Mus musculus: one gene and its partner. The protein of the gene in region 1 purifies or fractionates together with the protein of each later gene. This does not show direct contact. Links are inferred from orthologs where the notes say so. Each region holds a gene or a part of one and is shown on either strand. Other genes may lie near its edges.

Evidence for each region.
Region 2: the proteins of Fam117b (region 1) and Dyrk1a purify together in Homo sapiens (affinity purification with mass spectrometry; 8 studies listed by BioGRID and IntAct, counting the BioPlex papers as one, with this or other methods). This does not show direct contact. The link is inferred for Mus musculus from reciprocal best matches to the Homo sapiens genes FAM117B and DYRK1A.

The regions. Positions count from the first base shown.
Region 1 is NC_000067.6:59,978,786-59,982,525, reverse strand, and holds part of Fam117b (protein FAM117B), read right to left. Parts: intron 1,118-3,740; coding exon 799-1,117; 3' UTR 1-798.
Region 2 is NC_000082.6:94,685,165-94,688,983, forward strand, and holds part of Dyrk1a (dual specificity tyrosine-phosphorylation-regulated kinase 1A), read left to right. Parts: coding exon 1-177; intron 178-1,314; coding exon 1,315-1,439; intron 1,440-3,819. UniProt on the Homo sapiens protein: Dual-specificity kinase which possesses both serine/threonine and tyrosine kinase activities. Exhibits a substrate preference for proline at position P+1 and arginine at position P-3.

The DNA of each region.
Region 1 (3,740 bases):
TCTTTTGGCTCACTGACTGTTAAAGCAACCTGTCTTCACACTGACTGACCACACGATGAAGTGTGAACAGGAATAGTGCAGAAAACAGCAGTTTACAAATACTTCACTCAAATCACAAACTGTTGACATCAAAAAAACATAAATCACATAATGTACAAATATTGCTTTTTATCTTTTTATATATACTTGGTTCAATGCATTACCTATCAATTCTTACTTGGGAGAAGAACAGTCATGAGATTGACATTGCTGGGGAAATGTCAACAATCCCTTTGGTCCCAAAGCTGAAAACAGCCGAGAAAAGCAATATCTAGAAAAAGGAAACAAGAAACAGAGGCCACCAAAGGATCATTGGAACATCTTGTTTGTTACTTTCAGAAAATGTGACATTGGTATTATAAAATAGTCGTTTTCATATAAAAGATGATTTTCTTGCAGCATCGATCACATCTCCCTTCAGAAATCATGTTTGCAGGGATCCGGTTTTGTATTTTGTTTTTAAACAAGTCTAATTTGAAACAAATGAAAATGTGATTTTTGTTCCTCCAAAAGTAAAGAAGAGACCTTTCAGGTTTCAGCTAGTGCTTCAAGGCCAAGCAGGTGAAGCACGTCTGTGGCCTTCATGCGCAGGGCAGAACACTCAGAGGACCACTAGTTCTTCCAGGAGCCTTGCTGTCACACCTCACTGGAAAGCCAAAGCACTTCACAGCCAACCGGGAGGACAGGATACCACATGATACCACAGTCACGTGATCTGCAGGGTTCTTAGCTCCCAGCACCCATTGCTTGAGCTGAGCCCTATCCTTCAGCTTCCTCAATGGGTTCTGGTGGTGCATGGAGGGAGGCGGATGGCAGGACTGTACTGGTTCCTCGAGATACCCGCTCTTGCTCTGTGTTTGTAGACAGGGAGGCCATAGAGATGGGCTGGAGCAAAGTGGTGGTCATGCCAGTGGTGACGGTCAGGCTGTGACCAGAGCCCTTGAGAGTAAGATCTGGTGTAGGGAGAAGTGGTTTGAGGATACTCACGAGGCAGAAAGCAGAGCCACTTTTAGGAATGAAATTCACCTTGTTTTTGTCAGGACAGTAAAAGGCTGGAATCTCATGAAGTTGTTTTGGCCTGCATACAAAACAGACAACCCACTCTTGTTAAGTCACTCAATACTGGAAATAAACTTATCATTAGAGAAAATAAGTCAATAAAAGATATATAAGGACAACTGAATCTGTCAGAAATGCCAACCTCAAAGGACCTAAATATTACCAGATATCTGACTCAGTGTTGTCAGGCACTCCCTTCGAGGGCCCTGTCACTAAGCAGAGGTCAGGCTGACACCACTTCATTTAATAGGATCTAAGATAGCCAATAGGAATATGGATATCCTAAAGCAAAAGAAAATCCACATGCATAGAGACAAATATGTTTCCAACATGATTTTTTATGAAGGGAGAAGACAAAACAATGGACTATATAAATCGTCTGGTTCTGTTTTTGCTAAATTCCACCCTACAGGACTATGCCCTGATAAGCAAAGGCTTTCTTTTCATGTATTCTTTACTTGTTTGTTTTGGGTTTTGTTTTCTTTTTTTGCTATGTTTTGTTTTGTTCAAGAAAGGTTCTTACTATTCAGCCGTGGCTGTCCTGAGCTTGCTATGTACACCAGGCTGACTTTGAACTCACGGAGATCCACTGCCTCTGCCTCTACAGCACCCAGCTTAAACTAAAACATGCACTTCCACATCCAGTTTTATCTAGTATAAGTAAAAATTTCTACATCAATTATAGAGATTTTCAGAGAAATGAAAGGTAAATGTGAAAGCAAAATAATGGAAAGCTTGTTGGGTTGCTTTAGTTTTTCTGTGATGGAGGGAATGGAACCTGAGCAGACTTTGGCCAGCTCCAGTGTATTGAGCATGGTTTGGCAGGCCTTGCCTTTCTAGCCCATTTTCCACCGTTGAGAGTATATTCCTAAAGCTAGCCACCCAGGTCTTTCCCTTATTTGGCCACTTCCTCCTCCTGAAGCTGACTATCAAGGTGCAGCAAGCAAAAGCCTCCTTTGGCTCACTTAATTAATATGCTCAATTAAAAAGAAATTTCTCATCCTACTTTGGGGTTTCCCTTGAACTTGTGTAAACTGCTGTCCCCTCTCTCTCCAGAGACAGTCCTTTTCCTCTAGGACAACCACCCCTTCTCCCTCTTGTTCCCTTCCTCTCTCCCTCGTCCTCTATCTTCTGTCTCTTATTCTCTACTCTCTGTCTTCTCTGGGGCAAACTAAAATTGCTGAGAACTTGGTCTTGGGGTCCTGAGCTGATTCTGTTCCTTATAGAACCCACCCAGGAATTTTAACCACCAAGTTGTAATTTAGTCTTCAAAGTTTTTTCCAAAGCAAACTTCTTCCCTGTTGCCAAAACCTTCCAAAACTATCCCAAAACATTTTTGTTCTTAGTGGTATTCCATGAAAATTTAAAAATTACAAATAACATAGTAATGTCACAAAATTAAAATAAAATCAAGGTGAGAAGACAACTTCGATGAAAAAAAAAAAAAACCCTGTTATCAGATGATAAAAATATTGTTTTCCTCTGCAAGATGGATATAGGTGATTGTTGCCAAGCTTGGAAGTTGAGTTCAACTCCTAGAATCCAAATGACAGAGGAGAGCCAACTTCCCTAGCTGTCCTCTGGTCTCCACACACACTGTGGCACACTCACCCATGCACCTGCATGTTTGCACACTGTGTATATAGAATCAATCATTGGTCATTCACATCTCTCCCAAAGACAACTGAGTTCAGTAAAGATGTCAGTGTGCCAAGCTGCAGGAGATTCTAAGAACAAAGTTCAATCTCTCTACGAGCAGACACGACACTAAAGAGTTCTTGGGAGGGGAGGCTCTACAGACAAACCCATTTCAATATAATCAGTTTCCTTTATAATCTGATATGATTTATGGGTTTAAAATGTTACTTAGACAAGGGAACCCATATCTTGACTGAAAGACTGTACCTAGCACAGGTGACCTGCAGGAGAGTCTGACAAACATGGTAAATTAAGGTTTGTAAAGGTTTAGATGCAACATGGGGGAGAGCTAACCTGTGATAGAGCCAAGAATCTGAAAAAAGGAAGGTCTCCTCAAACCTGTGAGCCAGCTTTAAAGAAGTAAATAACAGACTTGGTGACGGGGCTCCAACAATGTGTGTGTTCCTAACGATGCTGGGTTCAGACTCCACTGGCACTGAACACCCCAAAGACTGCAGTACAGGCAAAGAACAGAGGAAAACAGCGTTTATTTAAATCAATGGGAAGAACAGGTCAAGTACTGGCAGTATCTCTCACAAATGTTTCTGGGTGTTTTATGAAAAGAATCATACTCAATTTTTTCTAGACTCTCACTTATAAGAAAGTCAATGTTAACCTCTCTATAATAAAATAATGTTTAAATCTGAAGACAGGTTTATTAGAGATGTTAAGTTTTTATACCTCCATCTAAATAAAGACTTTTTTTTAACCTTGAACTTCTGATCTTTCTGCTCCCACTGAGTACTGGGATTACAGACGTGGCTTACCATGCCTGTCTTGCGGGGTACTGAGACTTACACCCAGGGCTTCCTTCACACTTGGCAAGCATCCTACTAAGCTATATCCCTATCACAAAGGACTAGGTTTGTCATTAATTTATTTGCCTGATGTCACCTTATTTAAAATTATTTGACAAGGCTAGGGATATTTGTGCTGTGTCTGGT
Region 2 (3,819 bases), on another chromosome or scaffold:
TAAGGATGCTTGATTATGACCCCAAAACTCGGATTCAACCTTATTATGCCCTGCAGCACAGTTTTTTCAAGAAAACAGCTGATGAAGGTACCAACACAAGTAACAGTGTGTCTACCAGCCCTGCGATGGAGCAGTCTCAGTCTTCAGGCACCACCTCCAGCACCTCCTCCAGCTCAGGTCCGCCACGGCGCAGCGCGGCCCGCTCGCTTGTGCATGCTTTCTCTCTGCTTACTCGGGTGGGAGGCTTTTTCCCCCTCCTTTTTGGTTTTTTGAGGCAGGTTTTCTCTGTGTAGCCCTGGCTATCCTGGACGCCCCCTTGGTATGCTAGTCTGGCCTCAAACTCAGAGATCGCCTCCTGCCTCTGCCTTCAGAGTGCTGGGATTTAAGACACATGTTCCCACTGCCCAACTCCAATGTGGAATTCTTTCAGAGTATTTATATATATATATATATATATTTTTTTTTTAATTAGGTATTTTCCTCATTTACATTTCCAATGCTATCCCAAAAGTCCCCCATACCCTCCCCCCCCACCCCACTGCCCACCCCAGAGTGTTTATTATAAACTAATTTTTTGAATTTTGTAAATGGGTAGCAAGGGATTATTTTACTTCAATATGTTCTTAGTGTGTGTGGCTCTGAATTCAGTACCCTCAAACACACCTCCCCACCTGTATGGTTAGTAGCAAATTTAATTGTCAGATGTGTTCGTTATAATTGTCTGCCTGACAGTTAGAAACAAAGCTACTTATAGCCAAAAATTTAAATGGTTTTAAATGGAGTTATTTTTCCACGTCCTTAAGTTTTTACTTGACTGAGGAGAACCTGGCTGTATTAGCAGTTGATGTGGGAAGACATCTAAGACTCCAATTACTTTGTGGTATATTTCAAGTTAATACCATAGCTTGAAAGTTTTATGTGTCTGTATATGTGTTAAGTAGTGCATATACCTAACCGTGCATATGTGTGCACCTAAGGTCACATGTGGGTCTTGACACTGTGTCTTCCCTCACTGTCTTCCTTATTACTTGGAAATAAGAGTCCCAGTGCCCCAGAGGCCTGCTGTTGTATCCAGGCTGCCTGCCTGGCTAGTGAGGTCTTGGGATTGGCACTCCCTCACCCAAGTCCCGGGGTTCAGTCAGCCCAGGATTTTATACAGAGGCTGGAGATGCACACACAGTCCTAGCTCTGCTCCTGCTCTTACTGCGTACTCTCTCTACCCCATGCTTGAGTGGGTACAATGCAGTCTTAGAGTTCTAACTCGAGCAAAATTAGCTTTAAACTCACAAGTTTTTCCATGTCCTGATATTAAAGGTGGATCCTCGGGAACGAGTAACAGTGGGAGAGCCAGGTCGGATCCGACGCACCAGCATCGACACAGCGGTGGACACTTCGCTGCTGCTGTCCAGGCCATGGACTGTGAGACACACAGTCCCCAGGTGAGTGTTCCTAGTGCTCCTGCCATGGCCTTGCTAGCTTTAGCTTTGTTGGATGCCAGTCAGGACGACCATGTCTGTGTCCTCTTTTCTAAAGGTGTGTGGTATCCTCACTGCTTAGGAAATAAAAACTCCACTCCTTGTTAGAAATGAGAGCATGTGTTGGGTACACACACCACCGTCTTTCTAGCCATCTACTCCAGGTTTATTTTTCATTTGCCACAGCAGTTTCCTCCCTGCCTCTCAGTGGGTGCCGAGACCTCTAGATGCACTAATTCTCTGTGAGCTGTGCAGTCTGGGCCCTACGTTACTTCTTGTGGCCTCCAGCATTCCCACCCTGATTCTGAATCAGTTTGTGTTGGATTTTTAAACTTGTAATATTAAAGTAATTTTTAAAGTTAGTGTAGAACATGTGGTAGGATAGAAATGTGGAGATGCCATCCTAGCTATATTTCATTGCTGTGGTAATACCCAGACAGAAGCAGTGTAAGGATGACAGGGTATACTCTGGCTCACAGTTCAAAAGGAAATGATACCTTGTGTCAGGGAAGATGGGATGGCAGGCAGGGAAAAGCAGAGTGGTAGGGTCAGGAGGCCTCTGCATTTAAGAAACAGGAAATGGGTGGGGCTGTGCTGAGCTATAGAGCCTCAAGGCCTACTCTATAAGCCAGCCTCCTGCAGTAGGGCCTTCACCCCTGCCCCTGGCTGCCAGCTGGGGACCAAGTATTCAAGCACAGGAGGAAGGTGTTTACTGTTTAGACAAAACCATAAGACCTCAGTGAGACATTTCCTCTGCGTTGTGGGCTACATTTTGGCTCTGAGCGTGCCAATCGGTTATTTGATAGAGTAAGGAAAACCTGAGCTAGATTGGTGCTCATTCCTTAATTGTGACTGGGCCACTTGGTTTTGCTGGAGAAATTGTCACATTGTTCTGTCCTCACTGTTAGTATTCACCAGTCTCAGGCGGCCATCCTCAGAGGACCCCTTCTCCTTCCTATTGTCTGTGAATTACTTCCAACTTGTCCACTCGTAGGCAGAGGCCTGTGACTCTCTCTTCTGTGTGCAATCTTCAGACTGCACTGCTGTAGACGGGCTTTCTCACAGCTCGCCTCTCTCTGCTTTCACTGGGCTTCTTGTTGAAGGCCAGGCCCATGTCTCCTGTCTTCATGGGCTCTGGCTCCTTCTGTTGAACAGCACTGAGTCTTTGATCGTTCTAGCCTGTGGTAACTCTCCCTCACCACACTGTCATTCCTAGAGTTTCACACTTGTCTTCAGCAGCCCAGCAGCTCAGTGCACCTAACTCCTGGTCCCAGTTGCAGGCCCTGTGTCAGCCACAGTCCTCACTGATAGTCCAGAGGACTCCCCTGTTTTCCTTTGTCGTTGCCTGGTAGTATTTGGCAGGGTTGACTTAATCCACATACACTGAATTACCTCTGGTTTCTTTGGCAGCATGTGTCTGGTTCTCCATTTCTTTGTTCCCCCTCCCTTAACTGTCTTTTGGGGGGCAGTGTTCCTGTCCACCATGCCTTGAGATGACCTCACATGCTTTCTGCTTGGTCTCACCCCTTACTGCCAGTCATTACAGTCACCATTTTTAAAGCATTCCTTCCTACTTACCTCTGACTACACTGACCTCTGGGTTGTGTTGGGCTTACTGTAAATGCCATTCTGCAAGTTTGAGCAGTAAGAAGACTCTTAACTGTACCTGTTGCTTTGTAACAATGGTCCTATTTTCACTTACTTACTGTCATAGATTCAGGTCCAGGATGTTAGTCTCCAGGTTAGTGAGGTGTGAATTCTGATTTTATGTATATATAATTAGCCCTTCCACTGCAGGAACCATGTGTGTCCTGTCTTCCACTAAAGCACACTCTTTCCTGTGCCCTGACTAAGTGCTTATCAGCCTGAGGAAACTCTGCAGATGCTTGAACCTCGCTACTCCAGGCTAGTTTATTTCCCCTGCTTTTCATAGCCCTTGTTTCCCTTGTACCTGGACCTAACTAACGTGTAGAACCTCTTGTCTTTGTGCTCTGCCCCTACCCAGGCCTTTCTTTATTCTCTGCACTCAGAATGCACACACTGAGATCTTTCACTCTGAGGGTTGTGCCATGCTGGGCCTCCCACGCTTTCCTCATTCCTCCTGCGTTGGCTTAGTGGCACACTTCACACTTAGTAAATTTTTTTGGACCATCCTCTGTTCCTCTCTTTCATGTATGTATATGGTCTATGTACTACAAACATACATAGAAATTCCCAGAAAAACACAGTTGTATATCCCACCTACCTTACAGAAGTCATTGATCTGCCTGTTCACTTTAGGTGTCCAACAGGACAGCCCCAACTGGCATTTCTGGCTCATGATCATCGCTCTCCTTCCTCTAGG